Drosophila melanogaster: one gene and its partner. The protein of the gene in region 1 purifies or fractionates together with the protein of each later gene. This does not show direct contact. Each region holds a gene or a part of one and is shown in the gene's direction. Other genes may lie near its edges.

Region 1 (5,394 bases):
GAAGACGAGGAGCCGGAGTGCGAAACGCTGGACGTGGACCACGGGTACTTTGAAACGGATGTCTGGCCCACACTGGCGAACCGAGTTCCTGCTTTTGAGTCTGTGAAGATACAGAGCAGCTGGGCGGGCTTCTATGACCACAACACATTTGACGCAAACGGCGTCATCGGCAGGCATCCTCACTACAGCAATCTCTTCATTGCCGCAGGCTTCAGTGGGCACGGCATTCAGCAGACTCCCGCCGTGGGTCGAGCCATTTCCGAACTAATCTTGGACGGCAAGTTTACCACACTGGATCTGTCGCGCCTCGGCTTCGAACGCCTTGTAAACCAACAGCCTATGCACGAAGTGAATATCGTTTGACAAATTTATCACAGGAGGATCGTACTTGCCCTTGGTGTGTTTATGTATGTACTTCTTTTATTGCAATTTCTGTTGTGTATATAGTAATTTTGTATAGTAAAGTTCACGTTTTAGTCACGTACAGCTGTGTTGGTGTTTTGGCTGCCAGTAGTCAAGGGAATTTAGTTTAGTTTACGGGGATTTGACGTGGAATCAGCCACGAGAAGGTCGTGTGCCTACATATAATTTATTAAAATAAGGAGTTAAACATAATCGTAATATAACTTGCGAAATAATTGCTGACTTAGGATCAGATGGGGCGAGCGGGTTTGAGGGGGTCTGCCCTTGTTACTTAGTTATCGTTATGTAGCTCTATGTGTATCTGACATCTAAACTACATACAAGATCTGCATTAGAGTCGGGTCCGCGTGGAATCGTTTCCCTGTCAGGGTGAGCCAACCCAACTTGCAAGCTATTGGTAAATATAAATAGATGTATGTTGAATGAGTGTTTCATGCGAGTCTGACTAATCTGGGCGGGCTCCTAAGCCTCGCTTTCGCCAGGGGCCGCGTTTTCACCCACGTTGATGGGCACGATCAGATTCTCCTTCGACATCAGATTATATTTTGTGACGAAATGCGTGAAACGGTGGCACAGATACGTCTCGGCCTCGAATTCGTCGAAAATGCGACGATGGTGAAAGTAGGCGTGCGAGAAGATGCGATACACCCGCCGACATACGGAGCCCAGCTTGGTTACCGACGACTCCTTGATGGACACCCTGGGAGAGACACTTTGCTTATTATGTGGCTAGTTCAACCATGTCGCTAAGCCTGCATACCTGCTAGGGAAGTACTTGTTGCTGTTTAGCAGACAGGCGGCACCGTCCAGCGTGTGGCGTGTGTAGTCAATGGCCGGACATTCCTTGGGCGTCTTGTGCGCGGCGCACAGGAATATCCACTGGTCAGTGGCTGTCATCTGGGTGCACGTCGACGGCGAGCACTCCTTCTGCAGCCGCACTGCCAGGCCGTTCAGCTCCATGCAGAACTGGCGCAGGTGCTCGTACTTCCACACGCCCTCATCCTGGGCTTCGGGCATGGTCAGTATGAGTTCCACGTTGCTCGGGTCGCGCTTAATCAGCTGCTGTATGTACTGCTGCACCGCCAGCGTGCTGTCCATCTCCTCCAGGGGCTCGTCGGGCCAGCGACAGAAGTCCTGAAAGGCGAAACGGAAAACGGGTCAGACGGGCCGGGCCGGGATCGTTGTTCGGACGCCATGTCATCGCTCACCTTGGATTTTGTGCCTGGCCGGTTCCTACGCAATATGGTCGAGCCGTCAGCCATCTTCATGTTTCACCCGCTCGAAGACGCGATGATCCACAACGTCTGTGCCTACGCCTTGATGAGAAAATCACTGGCAGAAACTGAATGCTAGCCTGGTCCCTGCCCCGCGGGAGTCTCCGGATGTGGGATCCCTGCACCGTAGTATGCTGAGTGTATTCTACAGGAGCTGGCACATCGCTTGACAATTAATTGGCGTTTATCCTCCAAAACACTTTGCTTTGTGCGAGAAAATTTCTGACAAATTCTACATACATACATATACCTATCGATTGGCCAGCGGCAGTGCGCATCGTTATCGATAGGGCGATTGCAGCCTTGCGGTATTTCGGTATTTCCGCCAGCCCTGGCCACAAAGTGGCCACACTGTCGCTAGCCAGTCATCATAAATACGAACAGATTGGAAAACGTACAAGAATTGCGTATTATCTGTGGCATTACGAGATCGTACTTTCTAAAAACTAGCTTACCGTAACCCCCGTCAGCTTAAAACATGTCCTACGCGTACTTGTTCAAATACATCATTATCGGAGACACAGGTGAGTGCAAGCTGCGACTTCCTTTGAAACGGAATGGCCAGTGAAAAGTTGGCCATTGTCAGGGAAACAATCTGTAATTGCAAACAACACAACAAAACAAAGGGCATCGCAGGCGTAGGGGTCGTACCCGAAAATCAAAAAATGGGGGTTTCAGGTGGTCTCAAGTGAAAAATTGATACCGTGAGATCAAAATTGCGTCGGCAGGAAAATATTCCTGGAGTCGGTGGGCCGAAGGAAAAATCAATAATACCATAACAACGCATACAGGCGTTTGCTGCTCTCAGAGTTAGTGGTGCGCGGGGAGCAGCCCACACATAAACCCTGCTGCTGACTCACCCAACCACCCCCAGTAATTGAGGGATTCCGCCCCAAAGAGCCACGGGCTTATCAGCACTCTGCTTTTCGGGATGTCCAACAGCTGTTGGCATTTTCCAGCCTGTCCCACCTTTTCCCCGCTCGCCCACTAACCCTTTTCCGTTTCCGCAGGCGTGGGCAAGTCCTGTCTGCTGCTCCAGTTCACGGACAAGCGATTCCAGCCGGTGCACGACCTGACCATTGGCGTGGAGTTCGGAGCACGCATGATCACCATCGACGGCAAGCAGATCAAGCTTCAAATCTGGGACACGGCTGGGCAGGAGGCTTTCAGGTACCCACTTCTGTTCATTTAGTGTTAATACTTAAGAAGGGATAAGTGAAAGCTCAGATTACTTCCAAAATTGAACTGAATAAATTTTTGCAAATTTCGTATCCAAAACCCCAAGTCCAAGGCGGATAATAATTCGGCTCGTTTTTTATATTAAATAAAATAATTTGAATAAAATTCTTACTTAATGATCCAAAATAATAATAATATATATATATAGAGCCTTTAGTAAAAAGGCTTAATAATTTGTATTCAAAAAATTTTATTTGCTTCATTTCGGCACATTGTTGATAGATGTTTATTTAAAAAAGTTTTAATTCTATCATTTTTAATTTTTTGTGATATAAATTTTTTATACTTTACTTAAAATTAAATAGAAGTCGTCAGACAGAAATTTAATGGGTTACTAATAATTAAATAATATAAGCACTGTCATTTATATAACTGTATTGTGACGCAAAATATTTCTTGAATAGATCTATCACACGCTCTTATTACCGCGGAGCTGCTGGCGCCTTGCTGGTGTACGACATCACGCGACGGGAGACCTTCAACCACCTGACCACCTGGCTGGAGGATGCGCGTCAGCACTCGAACTCGAACATGGTCATTATGCTGATAGGCAACAAGAGCGATTTGGATTCGCGGCGTGAGGTGAAGAAAGAGGAGGGCGAGGCCTTCGCCCGCGAGCACGGACTGGTCTTCATGGAGACTTCTGCGCGCACAGCTGCCAACGTAGAGGAGGCGTTCATAAATACGGCCAAAGAGATTTACGAGAAGATCCAGGAAGGTGTCTTCGACATCAACAATGAGGTAAGAAGGATACATTTAACTTAGAAACTTCTTGCCACTACATTATTATCTCGTTACTAGGCAAACGGCATTAAGATCGGCCAACAGCACTCCCCCACAAACCCGTCGCTCCCAGGAGCCGGAGGAGCAGCTGGAGCAGCAAACAGTGGCTGCTGCTAGGAGTAAACCGCAGATGCCCGATTGCAATTCTGGGATAGGCGCAGCCGCTTCTGTAAAAGCTACTTTAGTGACTAACTAATAGAAGGTAGTTGAAGGAACAGATTTCTTGTTTTCTATCTCAACCGTAACTAACCACGTAAACATAGCTACCACTAATCTAGCAATTGGACACTAAGCTAAATGTTAAAACCATTAAGATCAGACAGTTACAAGAAACACATCTCCTTGTTCAGCTACGTTTTATTTTACCAAAAAAAACCAAAAGGAAGAAGTAACCAGAAATAAACCAAAACAAACCACATTTGTGTACGTGAATGTCGTGCGTGATTTCTAAATTTTATAAAGTTTATTGAAACATTTTTAAATGTTTTATGCATGTATTTTGTGTATATTGAAGTTAGTTTGCTAGTTACTTCGTGTAAAATCGATAGTTATACATTGGGATTTTGACAAAATGATGTGTAATATATGAACAAAAATCAAACTGTGTGAATTTTCATTGTGATTCGATTTCAGTGAGGTCCAGCTTCGCAACGCTGCGCCACGCCCCCTTTTGCAATGGGTATCTGCTCCGCTTCTCTATACACACATACATAATTAAATATATTAATATGTTTACGTTTCCTTCTCAACGCATTTGCTTTGTCTATTTTGTTGTGCAATCCGCTTAGTCTTTATACATACACTAGAAAAAAAGTACTTTAACAAAATATACAAAACGTGAGGGCCGAAATGGGGTTATATAATTTACACAATCAACATGCATTAACCAGTGGTAACACGAAATGCTGCGATTCAATGATCAATTTAGTATTTTACGAAGTTTATATATTTAATTAACGGCGATTGCTAAGACAAAACGAAAGATACAACTGTAAACGTAAATCAAATTATTTATAATATTTGTATTTGCCCAACACAATGCGGAATAATAAATATACATACTTACTATTAATATAATTATATAAATTAAATCGGTACTTACCTTGGGTTCATTAGCGTTTAATCAAGTGATAGTTAACGACTAATTAGTTTTTTGGTGTCTAGATGAGAAGTAAAACACTAAGGCAAATTTAATGAGGCATTTAAAGTTGTAAACAACTCAACTTTTAAATGAAAAGAGGTCAGACAAATAATTACGCATTAGTGTAGTTTTAACCCTTTTTATTTAGTAAGAGGCTTTCGGTAGATAATTGTTGAATTAATGTCTTGTAAATATTATTAAATGGTGAATCCTTTTTTGTTTATGTACATATTTCCTAAAGTGTTCGGAATTAACAATTTCCACTTTCTATGTCGGCTATAGGGATATAGTGTCGCATTTACTTAATTTTTTTAAATGTGCTTACATGTTAAAACATTTTTTTACTACTGAAATATACTATTTAGAAATATTTTTGTATTTTTTTTTAATAATACTTGAACTTTTAAGATATTACATAGGTTTGTTTCTTATTTTCTGAATCTTATCTGTGTTTTGTCTAAGAAAAAGTTTGCCAAACTGCAAAAACAAGTTTTTCGCTTCAACATTAACTATTTTTTATACCCTAATTTGCTC
Region 2 (5,189 bases), on another chromosome or scaffold:
GTGCAATATGAGTGTTTTAGTTTTAGATATTCTAGAATGTGTGTATAAATCCTTTGTAATTCACCCAAAACGAATAATCCATAACGAATCGAAACTGTTTTTGCGAGCTTGCATAATTTGAAATCATTGTTTTACTAGTCATCGTATTATTTACACTAAAATGAAGTCTATATATATATAAAAATATATAAATAAAAACTATTTAATTACACCAAACTGTGTGTTAGTTCTTCTCGAGCTTCAGGTCGCCGAGCTTCTCGTTCAGCGCACTTTCTTCATCCTCCTCAGCTTTGAACATCTCCTGAAATTCGGAAAATCAGATTGCTTGAGTTTTCTGGGGAGTTCTAGGTGTATTTCTGAATGAGTCACTTACCGGATCGTATATGACCTTGATGACTAGGGAGCAGCTGGGACAGGTGGCCACCTCCTCGCCCTCGATTAGCTCCTCCTAAAGTGGAAATTTACCAAGTGATATGGGGAGTCCAGAAAAAAAAAGGTTGCGTATACGACTCGTTACCTTGGAGATCTGAAATCGATCGCCGCATGGACAGGGATAGTAGTACATCTCCTCCTCCTCGTCGTACTCGAAGTCCTCGATCTCCACCTCGTCGTGATAGATGCTCATGACGTACCTTCAGCTTAATTCAGCGCCTAAAGGTCATATTATATTTGAGTTTTTTTTGCGATAACTTAGATTAATCCACGCCAAACAAATGGGCACGTTGTGTTGCGGGGCTGCCAACTCGTTGCAGCGAACAGCTGATCCAGTAAACAATTGCAAATGTTTTATTTGGACATTTTTGGACCGCCGGCTGCAGTTGTGAAATAAGTCTCGTATAAAATAGTATATTTTAGCTAACTTTTGCCCAAAAAAGACAAACTGCAAAACAAACCCATGTTCCAGTTGTTGAATAAGGAGTAAAATAAGACTAAATGGCTAGCAAAAAGTACAGTGACGTGAATCTTTACGATCTTCTGGGCATTTCTCTCGAGTCTGATCAAAATGAGATACGCAAGGCGTACCGCAAGAAGGCCCTCGAGTGCCATCCCGACAAGAATCCGGACAATCCGAAGGCAGTCGAGCGCTTCCATGAGTTGTCCAAGGCTCTGGAGATCCTCACGGATGAATCCGCGCGCGCAGCTTATGACAAAGTGCTGAAGGCCAAGAAGGCGGCGGAGCTGAGGAGTCGCCAACTGGACGGGAAGCGGCAGAAGCTGAAGCTGGAACTGGAGGAACGTGAACGGGCGGCACTGCACAAACTGGCGAAGAGCCAACCCTACAGCACGGTGGCCAAAAGCGACGAGGAGGTGCTGCATGAGCAGATCGAGCGGTTGCGACGCGAGGGCTCCCGTCTGCTGGAGGAGGAGCAGCGAGCCATGCAGGAGCAGTTCCGGCGGAATCACGCGGAGCAACAGAAACTGCAGCAACAGCCGGTCCAGTTTGATTCCGCCCAGCATCGCATCAAGATGAAGTGGAAGGCCGAACCTGGCCAGGATTACACACAGCAAGAGCTGCTCAAGTATCTGAAGAAGTACGGCGACGTGGTGGCCCTGGTGGTCAACAGCAAGCGACGCGGACGCGCCATGGTGGAGCTGGCCACGCGCGAAGCCTGCGACATGGTCTTGGCCTACGAAAAAGGCGATCCCGCCAAGCCGCTGCACTTCGAGTGGGTAACGCCGCCGGCGGCAGACAAGCAGACAACCAAATCGGCCACCACTGGGTGCAGTGCGTCATCCACCGACTACGAGGACCTGGTCATGCGAAAGCTGCGCCAAGCTGAGGAACGTAAGAGACTCATTGAGCAGATGATGAAGGACGAGGAGGGCGAATGAAATAAGATTTAGTTAGGCTCAACATTTAATTTACTTTAATTGGACTAATATTAATGTTTGAAAATATCTCAATTTAGCAACTATGCAGCTGATTTATAATACATTTACATTTAAAATAGTTTTTAATTTATGTAAATTTGGTTATTAATTATTTTTTGAAAAACCGCAAAAATAAAAAAAAGTTTAAATCAGAATGATGGCAATTTTTAGTGCCTGAGCAAACATGACAAGTTGGCAGGCCCGCGTGCCAGCTGCTGAAATTTGTTAATTAAAAGAAATGCAAAAATGACACGGGAGATAAATAAATTGAACTACTAAGCGAACTGAAAGTAAATGAACTAATTCCCTTTCAAGGCGAAATGGAGAAGCGACAGAGGGAGCTGGAGGCGCTGGTGTCCACCCAAAAGGAGCAACTGGGGCGCTATGAAAAGCGTCTAAAAGGTGAGACATAGATGAATTCGCAATGCAAATGGATTAATGAGCCCAATTTGTAGACGTGGTCACTGCCTACAAGGGTCTGCTTAAGGAGAAGGAGGCATTGGAGACGAGTCTGGCGGCGCATGCGGAGGCCACGGCGGTGGGCGAGTCCGGATCGCCGGCCAGGGAGTTGGAGTCCAAAAAAACCAGCACCGACTCTGCGGATGGAGCAACCGAGGGCGCTGCACCGGGTCCGCCTGCTCCCCCGGCCGAGGGTCAACTGCAGACCCAAATTATCACCCTGATGAACTCGCTGGCCACTCTTTCCGCTGAGAAATCCCGCATGGAGGCCTCCTTTCAGGCGGATAAAAAGCAACTGCGCAGCCAAATCGCCCAAAAGGAGCAGACCATTCAGGAGCTTAATACCCGGGCCAAGGAGCAGGCTGCTCGGGCCAAAAGCGACGTGGACGAGATCAAGGCCAAGTGGATCGTGGAGCGACAGGAGCGCGAGAAAGAGACCAACAACCAAATGCTCATGATCCGCGAACTGCAGAAACTCTATGCGGACGAGCGGCATCTAAAGGACAACATTGAGATGCAGTTAAACAACTTCAAGACCCAGTTCGCCAGCAACGAGGCAGAGAATAGCCGGCTACGGGAATTGCAATCCCAGCTAAAGGAGGCTCGCTCCCAGCTGAAACAGTTCCAGGCCAAGACCGAGCACTCTGCAGCAGCGTCAGCGAGTGCGGACAGCGCCGCTCTCCTTCAGCAAGTGCGCCTTGAGATGCAGCAACTGAAGGAGCAGCATGCAGTGGCCATTCGTCAGGAACAGCGTCGCGTGCTGCGTGCCGAGGAACAGAGTCGCAGGCAGGCGGCGCTGCACGAGGATCGCGTGGCCAGTCTAGAGGCACGCCTGGCGGAGCTCAGCACCACTGTCGGCAGCTACGACCGCCTGCGTCAGCAAGATCAGGACAGCATCCATGATTTGAAGCAGCAGCTGCAGGATCTAGAGCAGGCACATGTGCGTCCAACATCCAATTCAAGGGCGCTAAACGAAGATGTGGACGTAGCCACGCTGGTTGACGAGATGGTGCGCTTGAAGAAACTGCTTACCACAGCCAATGCCCGTTCTGCCAATCCACTGGATCTCGGGGAGATCCTATCATTTAGCGGCCAAACAGCTACCCGAGTCGAGAGTCACGCCCACTGCGAGCAACAGCTTCAGGGTGTGCAGCAAATGCTCGAGGCATCCAAGCAGCAGCGACAGCTACTCGAACAGAAGGTGCAGCTGCAGCACTCGCACATCCAAACGCTGCAGGAGAAGGTGCAGGTGCTCAATCGCAACATCGACGAGGCGGAAGTCGAACTAAAGCAGCAGGGCGAAAAGCTGCGCCTGGCATTGAAGAACGAACGAACCAAGTGGCAGGAAGCCAAGGCTGAACTGGAGAACGAGACGCGCTGCAAACTGAACGAGCTGGAACAGCTACTGCAGAAGCAGCGCCAGAGGTCACTGCAGCTGCTGGATGAGAAGGAGCAGGAGATTAAGACACTGCAGACCTCCTTCGAGGTCTTTCACTCGGCCAGCGGTGTGGGCAGCACACTGGCCACACCCACACTTGAAGCAGCTGCCGATTCCTTTCACTATTCCTCCGACACCGACAGCGTGGAGGGGGAGCAGCGGGAAAGAAAGCTAAAGGTGCGCTCCAAGAAAATGTCGATGGGCGAGAACTGCCACATGCTGCACTATGCCAACGAGTTGGCGCGCAAGGACATCGAAATCACGACACTGCGGAAAGCCAAATACGCCGCCGAGTCGACGCTGCGAAAGGCGATCCAGGACAAGGTGACATCTCAGCAGGAAATGCACGAGAAGATCGAGTGCCTCAAGGAGCAGGTGGACAGGTGCGTCGTTGTCGTTGTTATCGTTGTTGTCTTAGAAAGTCATGCCACGATCTCTACTCCCATTCTAGACTCGAACGTTGCAAGACGCGCGAGGGTGCCAATCTGGAGTACCTGAAGAACGTTATTATCAGCTACATTGTTACCCGGGACGCGGACGGCAAGCGTCACATGCTGAACGCCATCTCGGCGGTGCTCCAGTTCACCGCCGCAGAGATGCAGGCGATCAATGCATCATTCCAGAAGAAATAACATTCGTACTTTTGTTCAACAATCATGTGCAACATATTTAAAACCCTACAAACAGATCCTAAATAGATAACTAACTAAATCCGACGACTGGGTATTTGTCTAGGTGGGCAGCTAGCACGCCGGGAAACATGGCCAGGAACTTAAAGCGAGTGCCCATCTGGGCTGGATCCGTGAGCATCTCGTAGCCGGAGCGAATGATCTCCTGGTTTTCGGGCAGCGCATGTGCCAACAGTTGCTCCAGTCGAGCCTCACCCTGCATTCGCTGCAGGAACAGTCCCTGCTCCACGGGACCGCAGCAGTGGACATTTCCGCGTGTCTCGGCAATGTGCCGCACTAGCTTGAAGTCCACATCGGCCGTGAGATCAGCACTGCCCGGCTCCACCAGCGGATCGTGCAGCTTGTGCTGCTTGAAGGCCCGGAAAGTGTCGGTTTTCTCGCCAAAATGGCCATAATCCATGATTAGAGCGATGCCGCCATCCCGTTCGATGCGCTCGGCGAGCAGTCCCACCTGTCGTTCCGTCTCCAGGGAGTGCTCCAAACAGGATCGTGTCTCGCCGGGCAGCGGTCGATAAAGACTCGAAACGGGTGTTTGGCTACGTGAGAGCACATATCGGAAGCTAGCTTCTTGTGCGCCATCAGAGGATGCCACATCGATGAGCACCTCCTGCCACTTGCCATCTACGAGTTGGAGCTTGTGCACAGGCAGGGCGTCGAAGAACTCGTGGGCGAGAACTAGGGAGAATCCCTGGGGCACATCCTCTAGCCGACGGTGCCAGAATGCCTTCGTT

The links.
Region 2: the proteins of Rab2 (region 1) and GCC88 purify together in Drosophila melanogaster (affinity purification with western blotting, with the first as the bait; one study listed by BioGRID). This does not show direct contact.

Annotation. Positions count from the first base shown.
Region 1 is NT_033778.4:6,694,709-6,700,102, forward strand, and holds Rab2 (Rab2), read left to right. Parts: upstream 1-2,030; 5' UTR 2,031-2,175; coding exon 2,176-2,221; intron 2,222-2,707; coding exon 2,708-2,867; intron 2,868-3,340; coding exon 3,341-3,677; intron 3,678-3,737; coding exon 3,738-3,836; 3' UTR 3,837-4,761; downstream 4,762-5,394. Other genes in the region: CG3270 (uncharacterized protein), read left to right, coding at 1-363; Mob4 (MOB kinase activator 4), read right to left, coding at 886-1,135, 1,184-1,557, 1,632-1,691. UniProt on the Drosophila melanogaster protein: May be involved in bidirectional endoplasmic reticulum (ER) to Golgi trafficking. Together with Rab7 involved in promoting fusion of autophagosomes and endosomes with lysosomes, probably through recruitment of the HOPS tethering complex.
Region 2 is NT_033777.3:11,227,453-11,232,641, reverse strand, and holds GCC88 (GRIP and coiled-coil domain containing 88 kDa), read left to right. Parts: upstream 1-2,041; 5' UTR 2,042-2,192; coding exon 2,193-2,274; intron 2,275-2,327; coding exon 2,328-4,152; intron 4,153-4,220; coding exon 4,221-4,401; 3' UTR 4,402-4,471; downstream 4,472-5,189. Other genes in the region: Dph3 (diphthamide biosynthesis 3), read right to left, coding at 224-301, 374-448, 518-625; CG17187 (uncharacterized protein), read left to right, coding at 934-1,833; CG17726 (uncharacterized protein), read right to left, coding at 4,472-5,189.